4 linked regions of the Schizosaccharomyces pombe genome follow. The gene in region 4 interacts genetically with the main gene of each other region. Each region holds a gene or a part of one and is shown on either strand. Other genes may lie near its edges.

Evidence for each region.
Region 1: mutations in nnr2 (region 4) and ell1 together harm fitness less than expected from each alone (positive genetic interaction), as found in Schizosaccharomyces pombe (one large-scale study listed by BioGRID).
Region 2: mutations in nnr2 (region 4) and ngl1 together harm fitness less than expected from each alone (positive genetic interaction), as found in Schizosaccharomyces pombe (one large-scale study listed by BioGRID).
Region 3: mutations in nnr2 (region 4) and get4 together harm fitness more than expected from each alone (negative genetic interaction), as found in Schizosaccharomyces pombe (one large-scale study listed by BioGRID).

What each region holds. Positions count from the first base shown.
Region 1 is NC_003423.3:2,028,099-2,033,137, forward strand, and holds ell1 (RNA polymerase II transcription elongation factor Ell1), read right to left. Parts: upstream 3,043-5,039; 5' UTR 2,938-3,042; coding exon 2,773-2,937; intron 2,698-2,772; coding exon 2,489-2,697; intron 2,389-2,488; coding exon 1,161-2,388; 3' UTR 512-1,160; downstream 1-511. Other genes in the region: origin recognition complex subunit Orc4, read left to right, coding at 1-363.
Region 2 is NC_003423.3:1,124,418-1,128,724, reverse strand, and holds ngl1 (peptide N-glycanase), read right to left. Parts: upstream 2,254-4,307; 5' UTR 2,098-2,253; coding exon 1,771-2,097; intron 1,696-1,770; coding exon 1,519-1,695; intron 1,473-1,518; coding exon 1,313-1,472; intron 1,268-1,312; coding exon 1,229-1,267; intron 1,184-1,228; coding exon 885-1,183; 3' UTR 757-884; downstream 1-756. Other genes in the region: mRNA processing protein Cft2, read left to right, coding at 1-756; ribosomal lysine methyltransferase Set10, read left to right, coding at 2,638-4,281.
Region 3 is NC_003421.2:589,386-593,608, forward strand, and holds get4 (protein Get4), read right to left. Parts: upstream 2,366-4,223; 5' UTR 2,270-2,365; coding exon 2,238-2,269; intron 2,191-2,237; coding exon 2,137-2,190; exon of another isoform or gene 2,098-2,136; coding exon 1,937-2,097; exon of another isoform or gene 1,874-1,936; coding exon 1,798-1,873; exon of another isoform or gene 1,683-1,797; coding exon 1,612-1,682; intron 1,567-1,611; coding exon 1,181-1,566; intron 1,116-1,180; exon of another isoform or gene 1,073-1,115; coding exon 941-1,072; 3' UTR 685-940; downstream 1-684. Other genes in the region: SPOM_SPCC1672.11C (P-type ATPase P5 type), read right to left, coding at 1-468; exocyst complex subunit Sec15, read left to right, coding at 2,467-2,499, 2,540-2,701, 2,749-2,868, 2,968-3,406, 3,447-4,223. UniProt on the Schizosaccharomyces pombe protein: May play a role in insertion of tail-anchored proteins into the endoplasmic reticulum membrane.
Region 4 is NC_003421.2:1,442,112-1,446,382, forward strand, and holds nnr2 (NADHX dehydratase Nnr2), read left to right. Parts: upstream 1-2,377; 5' UTR 2,378-2,541; coding exon 2,542-3,525; 3' UTR 3,526-3,771; downstream 3,772-4,271. Other genes in the region: SAGA complex subunit Spt3, read left to right, coding at 891-1,814; SPOM_SPCC61.04C (Rab GTPase-binding protein), read right to left, coding at 4,232-4,271.

The sequences.
Region 1 (5,039 bases), on a different chromosome or scaffold from region 4:
TTGGCTTTATTGATTTGTGCAGTTCGCTTTGAAGCTAGGGATATTCCAGCTTGCAACTTTAATAGTGCTTATCAAGAATATCGACAACTGCATCAATCTTCCGTTATAAATGCCGCAGCATCGGGAGCTCTAGCTCATAGCAGTCGATTATGGGGAAGGGATGTTGCTTTGGAAGCATGGGAAACTTTAGGGTCTATAGGATTGATTATACCGGTTCACCCTTCTACTAATGTTAGTGGTGCCCTTTCTAGACAATGCCAACTATGGCAGCCAGAAGTGGATATCAATGTAGTTTCTGTAGGTTTGCGTGAACATCGACGTTTGCCATCGCATTATTACCGCTGGCTTAAGGAGGTTATATAAAAGAATTGCAATTTTTTTTGTTTCTGTTGTATTTTATTAACTTTGTATCCTTTTTAAATAAAACAATATAAGAAAGGCAAAAATAAGGACGACCGTGTTGAAGGTTATATACCATTACACATTGTAGTTATTACCGATATTTGATAAATAAAAGTTTTAATTTTAATTGATTAAATATTTGCTTCTGATAAACGAAAATAGAATTTACTTTTTTGCTATCAGCGCTGGTTAAGCTGTGAAAGAAGCTGGTCTCCAAATATTTATATTAGATGACTTATGAAGGTAAATCAGTAATCAACGGATCAATGAATACCTAAACATTTTAATGATAGTTTTTGTTTCAGGGTCACTTTGTACTAATGTAGAAAAAAAATTTTGGCGGAATATTTCATGAAAGGTGGTAAGAAAAACAAAATAAATTAGATTAAACGAAAGGACTCATCAGTGGTACTTTTAAGCCCAAAAAAAAGTGATAGCACATAAGGAATTCACGCAGTTTAACTAACTTAAAGATATGTCATAAAAGTTTAAAAAAAGCATCACAATAACAAGATTCTCATTATAAAATCAAAAACAAACTAATATTCAATAAACTGCTAATTGAATATGAATTTAACCAATTTATCTTTTAAACGAAACACTAGCCTTAACGAAAGCAGGAAAAAACAGCCTGCACTCGTTGTAGGCACCGTACAGTATTGAAACAATTTTGAATTGAAGCTGAGATAACCGTCACCTTTATAAAACATTGGAAATAAAACTGAGTGTTAAGAAAACCGGAAATTTATTGAGAAAAGTTAGAGGGCTAGCTCCGAGGAAGCATCGTAAAGTGTATTTTTCCAGCTTTTGAGCTGAGAATGTAGAGATATAAGTTCATCTTGGAGCTTGTTTAAATTAGGATTATTAGTATCATTATTATCATAATATGAAGAGACTTTTAAATATAAATTCTTATAACGCGGATAAGTTTCCCGAAATCTTTTTGCCAATGCTCGCATTTCTTCTGTAGTGTAACGTTGTTGACGACGCTTTTTAGCTATCCATGCATCTTGTTCATTCTTCTTGGGAGAGTTTGCATTGGGTTCAAGAGTGCCGTTGGTAGAAGACGAAGACGTAGGAAACGGGGTGGAAGGCAAGGATTGCGGAGGAGAACGACTTTTTCGTTTGATATGTGGAGATGAAAGATTGGAGCAAGTAGTGGAAGAGCCAGGTGAAGGAATGTCGGAGATAGGAGTATTTAAGTTTGTTGTATCGCTTAATGAAACGGCAGAGCTTTCTGAACCAGTACGAGAAAGATTTCCCGATGTTTTTCGGTGTGAGGAGGGGGAAAGCAAGGGAGAATAGTTTGAAGCGTTGAGCTTGGGTATGCGGTGTTGTTGTTGATAAGAAGAAACCGAGGAAATAGAAGGCATTGAAGGAGAGTTAGTGTCAATGAATGAAGGAACATGAGAAGTGGGTTGGGCCAATTGGGGAGGAATTCGTTTTTCATTGTTGAGTTTAGTAATGTTTTTTTGTTTTGACACTAAAAGTGAACGTTCAGGAGCATCAGGAGGCAATTGCATGTTGTCGAATGCATTGGACATACGACTTAGAACGGCATTCCTGTCTGCAATACTATAAGGACGCCAATCAAAGACTCGTACATCTTTATACACAGGATTAAGGAGCTCCCATTGATTCATGTTGTTCTTCCAAGCGACTTCTGGTAATAACGCTTGTAATTTGGAAAGTGACGCCTTTGTTCTTAAACGAAGAAAATCTTCAGTTTCGGGAGCGATTGCCAAAAGTTGGATAACACGAGTACGAAGATCAATGCCTTTGGCCGAGTTTTTATCACCAGAATAATGTGGTGATGCAGACGGTTGCGAGACGGGAAGGTTTGGGGAAGGTGTATTTGTGGGAGAAGAGGAAAGACCAATTCGTGAAGCACTTGTATTGAGAGGCCTGAGTCCATTTTTTTTTAACTGCTTTTGCTTCCTAGCAGTTGTATTTTTTGAACCACCATCATTTTGAAGGGTAACAATTCTATTTTTACAAATATTAGCATAATTTGAAAAGAGAAAGATTGAAAGTAACTTCTTCCAATCCATAGAATTGGTTGATACTATTGTCGTTCTTTTCATACCTTTTTTCTTCTTTTTCCTTTTGAGCTTCCTGCGTACGATTTTTCACTCGCTCAGCAGTTAAACTGTCGAGCTCTCTACGAAGCTGTAGCTTTTGTGAGACACGGCCAACCAGTTGTAACGAATTCGAGTCCACCAGTCTGTAAATCTCATGCGGAGCAGTTTCTGGAACGGAAGTGCATTTGTAAGACCTATCGTTCGCTAATATTGACTAAAAAAAGTATATTGGTTAGCAACATTCAAAATTCATTCTTCTTTATCGCTCTTCACAAATGCCCACACATACAGTACCAACATCACTGCATTCCAAGCTCACGTCTGTTATCGTTCCTGAAAGATATCCTTCGAGAAACTCTTTGGGTAATTGTACCAGCATCAATAAAGGCGATTCTTCTTCATTTCCGCCTAATGCTACAGGTAGAGCATCAGAAATGCTACTGTTCCTAATCATTCAACCCAAATAGATCGATAGTAAAAGCCTCTCAAAATGATTATATTAGCTAGATGGCACAACGGAGAAGCTTGTTTAAGAAGCCAGTAAGTACGGTAAAGGGATAAGAAGGTGGACTAACATAAAGATGCACCTTATGTATGAAACCTAGCTAGAGCTAAGTAACAAAAAGTAGCACATATTGGTGGTGTACAATAGGAATAAGCAGCGTATCGCTAAATGGAAAGAATAATGTAAACATTCGAAATTCAAAGAAACAAGTTGCAGCTTTGGTGTAAAAAAATATTTCTTTTTATGTCCTTTTAGCTCATATGTGACAGTGTACTATTTTTTGAGATGAATATCGGACTTTGGTTTACATAGTTCAGTTTTTAGTAACAGTGGAAAAATGAGAATTAGGGAGCGATGCTGAACAAATTTGAGCTTGCGTCCTTAGTTTACTATCTAGATATAAGTAAATCATATTTTTCTAAAAAAATAAATTTCCGTTAGGTTCGAAATTCTAAGCGGCGGAATAGGGTTACGGGACCAGAAATTTATTGATGAACTAGTGAATCTTTTAGACTTATTTAATCAATGACTTCTTGAAAACTCTACTGAATTGAAAACAATGATGCTTTACAAATTTTGCCAATTATTCCATAATTGAATTCACTTTTGTTGACGAACTGTGGTATTTATAATTTCAAACAAAAAAAAGGTCTTTAGTACATTAATTTATCAGGTTAAATGAGCCAATATAAAGCTGTTTAATTAACCACAGATTTTTTTTTGATTTTACTTGCTGGTCCTGTTATTCGTGTTTATCAAACTACGCAATTATTTAGATTGTTTTTATGATAATTTGTTAATTTCATTTAATTCAAATCGAATAACGAACCATTTGTTTTTCATTGAATCTTTACATATGTTTACTACATAGTGAATATATTTATAGTCTAGAAACAGTCTTCTTCTGAGTGGAATTATCTATCCTTTAAAATTCATGTTACTAATACAAATATAGTATAACTAAAGTTCCGAAATACTTGATGATTCAGAATAACTGGTATTAAGACAAAAGTAATGACTAGGTTTAAAGCATAGAAGATATATATGTTTAAAATATATCTACAGACATCCAAGGTCGGGTAGCATAGTTGGTTATTGCGCACGACTGTTAATCGTGAGGTCGAGGGTTCGAGTCCCTCCCTGACCGGATATATTTTTGTGTAAATATATTTTGTATATACACAGTTAAACGAGTACTACCAGTTATTTTATTATTGTGCTCATTGAAAATTCTTTCAAAAATCATGTTGAAGCTTTTAACAAAATTTAAAATACCTCTTATCTTTTCTTACACTATATATCTTGTTAAATTTTTTGACAAACGTCTACGGCCATACCTAGGCGAAAACACCAGTTCCCGTCCGATCACTGCAGTTAAGCGTCTGAGGGCCTCGTTAGTACTATGGTTGGAGACAACATGGGAATCCGGGGTGCTGTAGGCTTTTTGCCATATATGTTTTGGTTTCCACTATCGTGCGAACGATTTCAATAAACAAACATTCGTGTTTTTTTCGCTTATGCAAATGGAAAATGTTCATACCAATTTTTAACTCCATAAAAGCCGATATTCCTTACAGAAGATTAACCCGATAAACCCTCGCAGTGATTGAATGAATTGAACGGAATGCTCGACGATTATTCGCAAAAATCTATTTTTATAAAATAAAACTACATAACTACATTATCAAGTCGACTTACTACTACATGAATTTTAACGCAAGTTGCTAATTACGAGCAAGCGCCCAAGAAAAAAGGTACAAAAAAGGAAGAATGAATTCAGATTAACTCTGTAACATTCAAAGTTATGTCGATAAATTTTACAACACGAACGAATCCGTTTCATTTGTAAACATGGGTAGGTTAGTAAGCGGTTTCCGCTAAATCAGCGATAAAGTGAATAGTTGCTAGAAAGAAAGCAAGAAAGTAAAAGAGATTTTCAAGAGACTGCTAAATGAGAAGGGAGATAGAAAAATAAGATGACAAGGAATATCACGGGAGGATAAATTGCAAGCAAAAATGAATGCAAAGGCAGTATAAGAAGTGTCCGAGCA
Region 2 (4,307 bases), on a different chromosome or scaffold from region 4:
AAGGAAGAAGAGGATGAGGATGAAGTTCCTTCTAAAATTATAACAGATGAAAAAACTATCCGAGTTTCATGTCAAGTTCAGTTCATAGATATTGAGGGTCTGCATGATGGACGTTCTTTGAAAACTATTATACCACAGGTAAATCCTAGAAGACTTGTCCTTATTCATGCTTCAACTGAAGAGAAAGAAGATATGAAGAAAACGTGCGCCTCTCTCAGTGCTTTTACCAAGGACGTTTACATACCCAACTATGGTGAAATCATTAATGTTAGTATCGATGTTAATGCATTCAGTCTTAAATTAGCAGATGATCTTATTAAAAATTTAATTTGGACTAAAGTTGGCAATTGCGAAGTTTCACATATGCTGGCTAAGGTTGAGATCTCTAAACCTTCTGAAGAAGAAGATAAAAAGGAAGAAGTTGAGAAAAAGGACGGTGATAAAGAAAGGAATGAAGAGAAAAAAGAAGAGAAAGAGACACTTCCTGTTCTTAACGCCTTGACTTTAAGATCAGACTTGGCAAGAGCGCCCAGGGCTGCTCCACTTTTGGTAGGTAATATTCGGCTTGCCTATCTCCGTAAAGCACTTTTAGATCAAGGAATTTCTGCTGAATTGAAAGGAGAAGGTGTTTTATTATGTGGGGGAGCTGTTGCCGTAAGAAAACTCAGTGGTGGTAAAATATCCGTTGAGGGCAGTTTGAGCAACCGCTTTTTTGAAATTCGAAAGTTGGTTTACGATGCACTTGCTGTCGTTTAACTAATGTATGAAAAAAAAATTTAATTAGGATTACATAAAAAAAAAGCTAGTAACTAGAAAGGATTCATGTACAACATAACTAATAAATGTTTGGTAATAGAAACGGAACGTAAAGCTTTATGAAACAATCATTTTCCTGCTTCCCCTCTTTTCTCTTTCCATTCAACATTCCCCGTTTGTCTTGCTGGCAGGTCAGTGTTAGTGGGCGTGGCCTGGGAAACAGGACGCATATAACCATCAAGTTCATCTTTTTCACGTTTGTCTTCCTCCTCTAGAGCCTTACGTTCAGAATCAGTTAGTCGGGACCGAAACTCAATATTAATCTCATGCAAAGCCTGTTGTAGGACAGATTCGGGGCATCGATCACGAGGAAGACCATTCTCAGGGTGACGAATATATCTATGCGATACATCGCGAACACTATCGACTATTTTTGCATTAGTAACAAATAAAATTAAAACCTTTTCCGTACTCCCAAAACCCAAACAATATGACATCTTCTTTCCCCAACCTAATGCTGTTAGAAATCAAGTTTTTCAAGGAGTTAGAACTCTACCTTGTTCGTATATCAAAGGTTCATCGAATGATTCTTCACCACTATCGACATGCACCCAGCGTTGCTGTTTATTACTATAGACTTCCGTCCACACATGGTCCTCAGCATTCCAAATCCACCTAGCTCTAGATCCAAGTGCTCTGCATAGGAAAGTGAAACACTAAGAAAATGTTAGCTTTATATATTTATAAATATTTTTAACTCACGTTGGCCCACTCTCCACATCTTCCCTTCCTTGAATCAAGCAATGCTCGAATGCGATTATACCTGGGAAATCTCTGATTATGCCCGCATACATTGCATTGATAAAGCTCTACGTTGCGGACTCCATTCCATTTTTCTTCCTCATTGGGGGGACCGTTGCCTGTCATATGAGTTTCACCCTACACATTGTCAATATTCTATATCGTACGGATAAAGAACAAAAAATTGACTACACCGTCAATCATAAAACATACTCCACATTTTTCGCAAGGTGGTTGATTAACCCAAACAAAGAATTCTCGCTTGAACCACTTTAACAAGGCTTGAATCACATAATCTTGGTAACCCCAAGATCCATCTCCCTCTTTTTCTAATTCAGAAGCATCTTGAAATAGTTTGTCAAGTGGTAAAATGCTAAGAGCATAATCCTGCAACTCTGGGTCTTCATACATCCACGGGTGTTGTGACATTTGACGTACTTCATGATAAAAGGGATATGTCTCTGGAGGCTGAGAAGCGTTCTGGGAATTCTTGCTTCTCATCATATCAATGAAACGTTGAGAAATCGCATGAAAATCCATTTTCAGCAAATGTCCTATTTTCAAGAAAATAGCTAACGATTGTAAACAAAAAAAAAGAAAAAAAAAGAAAAAATTAAAGAAGGTATTTGTAAAACTGGATTGATTTACAAAAAATGAGGGTAATGTATTCACGAATCACAATATACGCTAAATTCTAAAAGACAACGCTTTCCTGTAGTCTAATTATGAGTATAAAGACTTCAAATTGTTATCAATTGCAAATTACTACAAGCGTTTTAAACTAATTAGCATCGATACAGTTTTTTGTAACAATACAAATGGCGGTTATCCGCATTAAAAACTGTGGGAGAAACACCCAAATGCGGTTTCAGGGTATTTCAATCCTTACCTTTGAGCAATAGGCGAAGCCAGGCGGCACTCTGCTACCACTTTTTAATTTTATGGTATAATTTATCTTCCACTTTTCTTTTGTCTGTTTTCATTTTTAAAAAGCAAAAATCAGTTTTGATGGTTTGATTATTGGAATTTTACAATTTTTTTTTTTTTCTAATTTACTTCTTTTATACGAACGCTACTTTAATGGAGAAATTACTACACGAAGCCTTGCAAAATGGCTGCAAGCTTCATAAATCTGTCGAATTTATCCAAAGTCGAGACGATAACGCTTGTTTTGGTAGTTATATTGCTGTTGCACAAAACGATATAGCACCTGATCAATTACTTATATCCTGCCCTTTTGAGTATGCAATAACATATAACAAGGCGAAAGAGGAATTAAAAAAATTGAATCCAAATTTTGAGAGTTGCAATCCTCATATAACACTTTGTACATTTTTAGCATTGGAGAGCTTGAAGGGTATACAAAGTAAGTGGTACGGGTACATTGAGTATCTACCTAAAACATTCAACACCCCTCTTTATTTTAACGAAAATGATAACGCCTTTTTGATATCCACAAATGCGTACTCTGCTGCTCAGGAGCGTTTGCATATCTGGAAGCATGAGTATCAAGAAGCATTAAGTTTGCACCCATCTCCTACAGAAAGATTTACCTTCGATTTGTATATATGGTCTGCCACTGTTTTCTCATCTAGATGTTTTTCATCCAATCTAATATATAAGGATTCAGAGTCTACTCCCATTCTTCTTCCTCTCATTGACAGTCTGAATCATAAACCAAAGCAGCCAATTTTGTGGAATAGTGATTTTCAAGATGAAAAATCTGTTCAATTAATTTCCCAAGAGTTGGTTGCAAAAGGCAACCAGCTGTTTAATAATTACGGTCCAAAGGGCAACGAAGAGTTACTAATGGGCTATGGGTTTTGCTTACCTGATAACCCATTTGATACAGTGACTTTAAAAGTAGCTATTCATCCAGATTTACCGCATAAAGATCAAAAAGCTGCCATTCTTGAGAATGATTGCCAATTTCAGTTGAGCAATTTAGTATTTTTTTTGCCAAAGTCCCCAGATAAGGAAATTTTTCAAAAGATTCTTCAATGTTTAGCAGTTGTAACTGCCTCTTCTCTTGAACTTCGAAAATTGACAGCGCATTTGTTGACGGGTGATCTAGCTTCTTATGTCCCTTCTTTACGAGGCCAGATTAAGTCCTTGGAAGTTTTACTTATGTACATCGACTCTAGAGCTGACCTTTTGTTAAAATCAAATCCGCAAGTATCTCCGACCTCTGAAAGGCAGGTTTGGGCCAAAATTTATCGCGATAGTCAGATTAATATTCTTCAAGACTCCATCACTTATGTCAAAAATTATATGGAAGAATCACTCCAAAAAACTTACAAACCTCTTCCAAACCTTTTGCAATATCTCATCCTTAATTCGATATCTATTTTCCTCTTGCAACATCCTTTGTTTGCACCACTTTCGCATGCCATTGAGAGTCTCTATGGTTCAACCGATGCTGAAGCATTGGTCGCTACAGATGAGCAGGATATTTTAATGATATTGATTTGTGTATATTGTTTATCTATTTCTGAAAAATTACCTTTCTCAATTAGTATGCTTGTGGAAGGGTATCCAGCCGTTGCTAATCCAGAAGGTGTTGAAGTCTTTGAAATCTTGGATGAAATGTTTTTTCAACAATTTACAAACGTATTTGGGGAATCCAAGCATTTTAATAAAGAAAATGTTTCTTGGGCATTGCAATTGGTAAATGACGAAAGTCTCGACTTTTCTGGATTTACCTTTATTATTGCCCATAATTGATAAATAAAAATTAAGCGATTAATATA
Region 3 (4,223 bases), 850 kb from region 4:
TACTTCCAAATCTTCTTCCACAAGGTACAAAATTTGACAGCAACCGTCTTCACTCAATCCAGCAGCTTCTCCTACAGATTCTCTACGTAAGACCGGATGTATATTCAACTCTTCTAACATCATTTCTGTTATTTCCTCCTCATCACTATAAACACCTGAGCCATTATCACGAAGCAAACTCTGGTAATCCCTACTAGCAGCTATAGACTCCCCATCATTATACCGATTAAGATTGTATTCCGACTGTAGATAGTCCATGCTAAATTGGCTTACGCTGGCATCCGAAGAGGGCCTTAAAGTTTGATGATGAAAGCTTGAGACACTAGACGGAATGCTAGTTCCTAACCCAGGGCCATCGAAAATACTATCATGGCTCATCAATGATGATGCCAAATACGAATTTAACGAATTTTTTGAAGCAATTGAGGATGTTGACCTCTTGCTTCTTATCATCTTCGGAGATGCCATAATGATTTCTCCACTAAAAACCCCTTCAATCTCCCTAAATTATTGATTAAAACTAATTTACTATGAGATTGCAGGATGGTGGTAGTGAATAGGTAACCCATGAAGAGCGTTCGAAAATACTGAGCTACGGAATCACACATTACGAAGATTGCTACAACAAAAGGTGAGAACTTTACAATCATAAGTAAATAGAACAATAAGAAGTATTTGCTTTAATAGAAGTAATTTTTTTTATTGATCTGCTAAGGAAGTATTTTCTATAAATTAGAAGAAGGCTGCTCGTAAACATGTCTCTCGCGTTACCGAGAATACTTATTTCACTTGTCCCTTCAATGAAAACCATTTTCTAGGAATTTATATATTTCTTTTACGACTGAAAAACAAATTTATCATCTTTAATATCAATTTCGTAAACTTTATGCATCAATTATAATGTCTGCGACACGTAAACTTGAATAACATCCAGTTGCTTTTACTCCAAATCCAACTGGTTTGTGGCTGCGGGAGGACCAGAAAACAAGGAGCTCATAAGATTGGCTAGAATGTTTGGTTGATTGCTAACAGGGCGAATTCCAAAGTAGATTTCTTCAATCTTTGCTAAGGCCTGTAGTAAAAAAATTTGTTAGCAAAACACTTTAGAAATAAGAAAAAATGCTAATATGTAAATATATATATGAAAAAAAGAAACATTTTTCTTATAAATGTAACGTACAGCTTCCCAATCTTGCTTTTTAGGATACTTTTGTACCAATGAAAGATATGTCTCTTTATCTTTGCGATATGCCGTAAAAATAAGTAAATGTAAGAAATTCATCTGGGGATACTCTTTAAAAACAGGAAAATCTTTACCATCGAAACTCATGTTCTCAACATCAGGCGCATTCGATTTAGTAAAATGCTTGGTAAATGTCTCTAGTGAGTTCCAAGCAGAAATTAGGTTTTCTGCCAAAAGATAATTTAAAACAGGTCTTCCAGCAAACGTATCAGGACTGATCGAAGAATCCGACGTAAACCAATAGTACATTGTTTCACCATATGCGCGGGCGCTCTTTTCATTTCCGAGAACAAAGTGCTTCTCAGCGCTAGCGGGTTCTTTCCCTATATTATGTGTTAAAAGCAAAGCAGATTACGAAAAGTTCGTACATTTTACAAACATAGTAGCTACCGCAAAGTGAACGTCCTTGTCTCCTTGAGGACCGGCAGATTTGCTCCATCTATTCATCATTAGTAAGTAAAAAAAAAGACAGTATGTAGGATAAAAGGGCGAAGAATCGATCGTTATCATTCACGCCGTCCATATATAATCCATACAGATAAATAGGCACTTACTCTAAAAGCCTTTTAACGTATTGCTTCCTTGCACCTTCTTCGGCAGGAAAAAGTCCCAAAAGAGTCAAAGCTCGGGCTGTGAATTAGTATAATGAAGTTTAAAAATCAGAGTTAAAATTAGCTGATGTGACTAGCATACCTTTGTTGTCAAGAGAGGCAGCATATGAAGCTTTTTCATAAACATCTAGCATGTATATCGCTAGGTCTGCGGCACTTCCGGTTTGCTCGATTTCAAATAATGTTTTAGCGCCCGAATATAGCAATGCAACTGCATCGTCGTGTTTCTTAGCTTTCACCTGTCTTGCTCGGTTATTCATTGATCAATAACAAACAACCTACCTATTTACTAGAGTGCGAAGCATTTGGTGACCTTCATAGGGATCCTCTCGTAATCTAAATTGTCAATAATAATACCTTCATCAATATTCGTAATTCATTACCTTCCTTCGGCTCGCTTGATTTTTGCGTCCATATTGTTTATTATTTATAAAGAAAAATAAAAATAAGCGTAAAAAAACTGAGTAAACGTGAATTGCTATTTAACGCTTCTCGCACTAAGTGTTGTCTCAGGGAGCAAGTGGTCCTGCCCATCCCCGTATATACCTATTTTAGCGAAACTACCTACTACAGTTGAAATTGTGTATTTCATCTTTCAATGTATTTCAAAGGATGGATATAGATGTCTTGGAGTTTGTAGATAAGGTAAGAGAATACTGCTGAGTTGTAATTGATAAATTGGTAGATTGCTTCAATCGAATCTGCCGGTGACACCTTAGATCGGTTGCCCCAATTAATTAGCTTGGCGTGTGAAAAAGGACAAGAGACTCAAGTTTATGAACGGCTAAATGAATTGGCCAGCAAAAGCGCGATACGCGTTGAACAGCTCTCTGCTGAAAACAACCAGGTATGCTAGTCTCCTGTTTCCCTAAGGTATAATCTTACAATTATTAGGATTTTAGCAAATCGGTAAACCAGTTATCTGTAGTTCGGTCCGAACTTCGTAGTTTGCAATCTTTAATGGCCGACCTGAACACTGACATTCAAGCTAGCGGTCGTGATTTACAAAATATGGTGAGCAATTATATTAAGCGTGGCTCTTTCAACTTGAAGAAATTGAGCTTGATTAAATTCTTGAATTTTGATTACGCAGAAAACTAACAATTGTATCAGAAACAACAATTAAATTCTCTAAGCACATCCGAGAGATTTCTTACAAAATATCATAATTTAGTGAGGAGCTGTATGCAAGTGTTGCATCAGGTTCAGTACTCTCAAGAGTTATTGAGTAAAAAGCAGTATCTTCCTACACTCAGAATTTGCTCAGAAATAAGCGAAGTGCATTTAAAACGTTTAGATGGATTGGGGATGTATTCTACCATCCAACAATACATTGTCACTACCAAGGAAGCTATATGTAGCGCTGTTATGGAAGACCTGCATGAATGGCTTTTCAGCATTAGACAAAAACTACCTTTAGTTGGTAAATCATGCTCACAGCAAATTGATGAAGCCAGAAGACGATGGGCTAGGGAATACAAAGAGGATTTGGTTAACCTAAGCTCCAAAACCTCAATTTCCCTAGAACTATATTTGCTTGAAATGATGGATTGTATGTTTACGTTTTGTTTCTGTTTTGTTAACATTTTCAGTTTCTCCCTTAGATAACGAGATCGTCAAGATTAGCTTTGAACCTTTATATATATGCTTGCAAGTTCATTCTTATTTGGGCTTGCTCAGCTCTTTCCGTTCCTCATTTGAGCGAGATAGGAGACGCCAACAAGAGTTTTTAGCGCCTAAAAGTCTGACCACGCTAGACATGGCTGTTGTCAGCGAATGGTTAAATTCTATTGCTGGGTTTATGATAGTTGAGTACTACATATTACAGTGTATACCCAATTTTCGCTCTTACGAAGAAGTTCAAAACATTTGGACTATTATTTGTGAAAAGTTGGTCGAAACAATTTTAAGTGTTGCGTTTACAGAGCAAAGTACCACTACAATAATAAAACTGAAAAATCAAATTGTTTTGCTTATGCATACCATGGAGAGATTTGGGTTTTCCGTTGAAAGTTTGCGGAACTTATGTGTCGAGCTTATTGATGCTTTTGGTGGAGCCCTTATATTGAAGCATTCTGTGTTCTTTGAAGAGGCGTTTGAAAAGGATGTGTATGCTCCCATGATCGTTGAGACACAGGAGGAATATGACCATTATATAGCGCCCTATTGGAACTTCCCCTCTGAACCCTTCCCAAGAACAATGAGCTTTTCAAAGATGTGCCCACTATGTTGCACAACTCTTTCTAAATTTGTCCGTCATTTCTTCATGTTCTTAAATGATTCTGTCATATTGGCTACCGAAGTTAATGAAAAGGCACCACGATTCTATAGAAGGTTTATTCTTCGAAGCCTTGTTGATAGATTGAAGA
Region 4 (4,271 bases):
AATAAAGACTGATGAAATGCAGACTAGTTAGTTAATAAGAGGTTTTTGGTTGCTTTAAGAAGCGGTTAAACTTTTTTAAATAATAGAAGAATTACACTTTGACCCTTTCTCCGAGGTTCAGGCTAAGCCGCCAATTTGATGTTCCCGCAATTAACTCCTCGAATTTATGAGTGATGGCTTCAATAGGGTATTCATTTGTTCAGAGTATTCAATTTAGTTTCTAGTCACACTTAAACATTTTGGAAGTATTAAAAATTACAGAGATTGGTAGCAGACGATTTTACAGCATGCTCGAAATAGAAGCATTAAGAAGAAATTGCAATATCACTCAGACTAATGAAATCCTTCTAAACACGAAAACATAATCTAAAGAATTGCTAGTAATATCACAAATTGCTGATAATTAGAAGGTGTTTACATTTATGGCAACAAAGATGAATGATCTAGCAAAAGAGAGTTTCAGACCAAAGAAAGTTGATGCTTTTCACTTTATAGATTACTCAAGTATCTACTTTAAACGGAAGTAAACAAGTTACGAAGGTAAAAAATTTCAAACATTTACAATCTTAAATTAATAAACCTATGCTTCAAAAAAAGACAGGAGTTACTCTTCTAATAACACTTCTTCACTAACTAGTTGTACTGGATGTTCTGTAACGAAAGAATGGACTGGGTTTGCAGTTTGGATAGTGTATCCAGCTCTCATAAAATTTGTTTGCTTTTTGCAAGCTAAACGTTTGACAATGGTTTTTCTTTTTCAACTTAAAGCACTTTATGCCCCATCAATTAGTCCTTCTTACTGGAAACTATATTTTTCTTGTCAGTTTGGAGTTCAGCAACTTGTCAACTACCCACCACTTTGGGAAGTGGTTAAAAATAAGCAATGCGGAATGACTGAGACTGGCAGAACCAGTAAATATCGTGTTGAAATTCAACAAATGATGTTCATTCTAGGGGAGGTGCAGGATCCTCTCCCAGAAACCACACAATTAGTCGAAGAGCTAATACGTGGACAAGTGATGGAGATGTTAATTCAGGCAAATGAGCTAGCTTTACGACGTGGCTCAAGATCTATTACTGTGGAAGATTTATTTTTCTTAATTCGCCATGATCGTGCAAAGGTGAATCGACTAAAGACATACCTGTCATGGAAGGAAGTGCGCAAGAAAGCGAAGGAGCAGGATGCCAATCCTGCCGATACAAAAGATCTTTTTGAGGAAGTAGATTCAAAAACAAGGTCAATGAATGCAGTTGCTATGCCTTGGGAAGTAAAAAATATGTTTACAGAGCCTGTACCGGAAACAGAAGAGTTTGAAGAAGATAACGATACGATGGAAATGGCATATGCGACGCGACAACGTCTTAAAATGGCAGATGAACGCACGAAGAAAATGACGCGTGAGGAGTATGTTCATTGGAGTGAATGTCGACAAGCCAGTTTTACTTATCGAAAAGGCAAGCGATTTCGTGAATGGTGTGGCATGTCTATTCTAACAGATACTCGCCCTGATAATGATATTGTAGATATACTTGGCTTCTTGACCTTTGAGATTGTGGCTACCTTAACTGAGGAAGCACTGGCTGTGAAAGATCGAATGGATCGGATTCAAAATAGCTCGGGTAGTGGAGGCTCTCATGCAGCGCATCATCCGAAAAATTGCAGTTTATTTGATGGACTTACTGAGGGGAGAACTCCCCTTCAAGTTTCTCATGTTTTAGAAGCTTTTCGTCGTTTGCAAATCCCCGATAAAACTCATACTGCTATGCGCAGTTTTCATGGGGGTTTGGTCAAATCTCGTGTGTATCTTATCTAATCATTTTCACTGTCTCTTCTTTTTTTTTAATTGCTGTAAGGCTTCCATTTACATCTAAATGCCCTGTTTTCCTGTAATTACCCATACTAGGTACGTATATGTTATTATCCCCATTACTGGTTCTCCTTGAAACAATATGGTTTAGATCTTACGAAAGCCCCTTTACTTTATGGAGATATTAACTACTCAATATATTTCATCACATTAGACTGTTGTCTTGCATCTCCGATTGAATTCATAATTTTATTTCTATCTTTCCACTAAGCGATATTCTTAATTGCAGCAGTGGTAGTATTTGGACTTTTGGATTTTTTAATATCAAATTTTTCTTATTATACTGGAATCTCATGATATCTGTGAATATTTGCAAATCTTCTTACCAAACTTCGTTTACTCTATACAAACTGCTGATTTTCGTAATGAACAAGGGGATCATCCTTTTGATATCGTCAGTGCGAAATTTTTAAAAAACAAAGGGTTTCTTTACGTTTTTTTTTTGTTTTCGAGAACATTTGAACTTCATCACTGAGCGTCATTTTGATCATACCTTCCACCTTAACATCATACATACGCCAACTCCAAGAATAACCGAACATTCGTATTCCGAAGCACTCACAGTACTTAAGAGATACAAAATTCAGGAATTTTAAAGACTTTTTGATTTATTATAATTGTAATTCTTTATAATTTTTTGCTATCCGAAGAATTCGCTCAACAAGATTACAACATGACATCTGGATCTCCCAAAATTACAAATTTGCTGACTCGTGTGAAGCGCATCATTCCACCACTTCTTGATACCTTCCACAAAGGTCAAGCCGGTCGAGTTGGTGTTTTTGGGGGTTGTCAGCACTACACAGGTGCTCCGTACTATTCTTCGATGTCGTCGATGCTCTTCGGCAGTGACCAAAGCCACATATTTTGTGAAAAAGAAGCTGCAAATGTCATTAAAAGCTATTCTCCTGATCTGATTGTTCATCCATTTTTACGTGAAAAGGACAAAGCTGGACCAGAAGATAGTGTCGATAAATGCTTTGAACTTATAAAGCCCATGATGGGAAGATTGCATGCCATCGTAATTGGGCCTGGATTGGGACGTGATGAATGGATGCAAGAGATTATGGCCAAAGTAATTGAGTATGCGCGCAAAAATGATATGCCTATGGTTATCGATGCTGATGGCTTGTGGTTAATTCAACAACGTCCCGAATTGGTTTCGGGTTATCATAATGTAATTTTAACACCTAACGTTATTGAGTTCAAAAGACTTTGCGACAAGCTTGACATTAAGAGTGACGGACCCGATGCTTGCAATCAGCTAGCTGGCAAACTAAATTTGCTCATCATTCAAAAAGGCCAATCCGATATTATTTCCGATGGCGCTACTGCATATGCTTGCTCCGTTCCTGGTGGTCTTAAACGTTGTGGTGGTCAGGGTGACATTTTAACTGGTATACTTGCTACATTCCTTGCTTGGAGACATGCTTATCTTAGCAAAGAATGGGATACAGAAGGTAATATGGATGCTAAAGAATGTCTCTTCCTTGCCGCATTTGGAGCCTCTGCCTGTACTCGCTGGTGCAGTCGTTTGGCGTTTAAGGAATGTGGTCGTGCAACTCAATCAACTGACCTGGTCAGACATGTGGGTAAAGCGTATAATGCGTTAATGGAGGATGAGATACCGTCTGTCGAGGAAAAAATAAAAGATTAAAAAAAAATAATATTTAAAAACCAAGAAGATAAAGGACCCTTAAACTAATAATTGACTTTTTTGCTTGTTTGTTCCCTGGAATTGACATTATTACCATGTTTTCAAGTCTTGGTTCAAATTCCCAAGCAAAGGGATACCTTAAACTTAGTTACTAGGAATGACTGAAACGAAAATACCAGATTATTAATGAAATAGCGTATTTAATTTTAAAAACCATGTTCAAAATAAACATTGCATAGTCGTTGGTATCATTGTTGTTGAGGAAATTTGATGTAGCTGTCACCGTTTTTATTTATTGTAACAGACAAGGGCAAGCAGACTCTTCTTTTTGATTCGTAATTGTCATTATTTACATTATCAAATTTAACGGAAATTAGTATTGTTCCTAAGTTTTACTATAAGACGATGTATCTATGAGCACGACAATAGCTTCGGAAACCAATTCAAACCTTCATATAATAGTTAAATTCTAATATTCTACGATTTAGATATCTAGATTATTAATCAATTCCTATCTTGACCTCAACGTTGTATTTTCATTCTACTGTTTTTCTTCTTGGAAAGTCATAATTGACAATATGGAATATTGAAATGCGTTATCAATTAAAAATGTTACTATTTAATTTGAAAAAAAGAAATGTGAGATAAAAAGAAAGAACATGGATAATAAATATCTCTTTTATGGGATAAAGATGCACAGATACGATTATTTCGAAAACACGGTGATCACGGCAAAGACCCCGTAA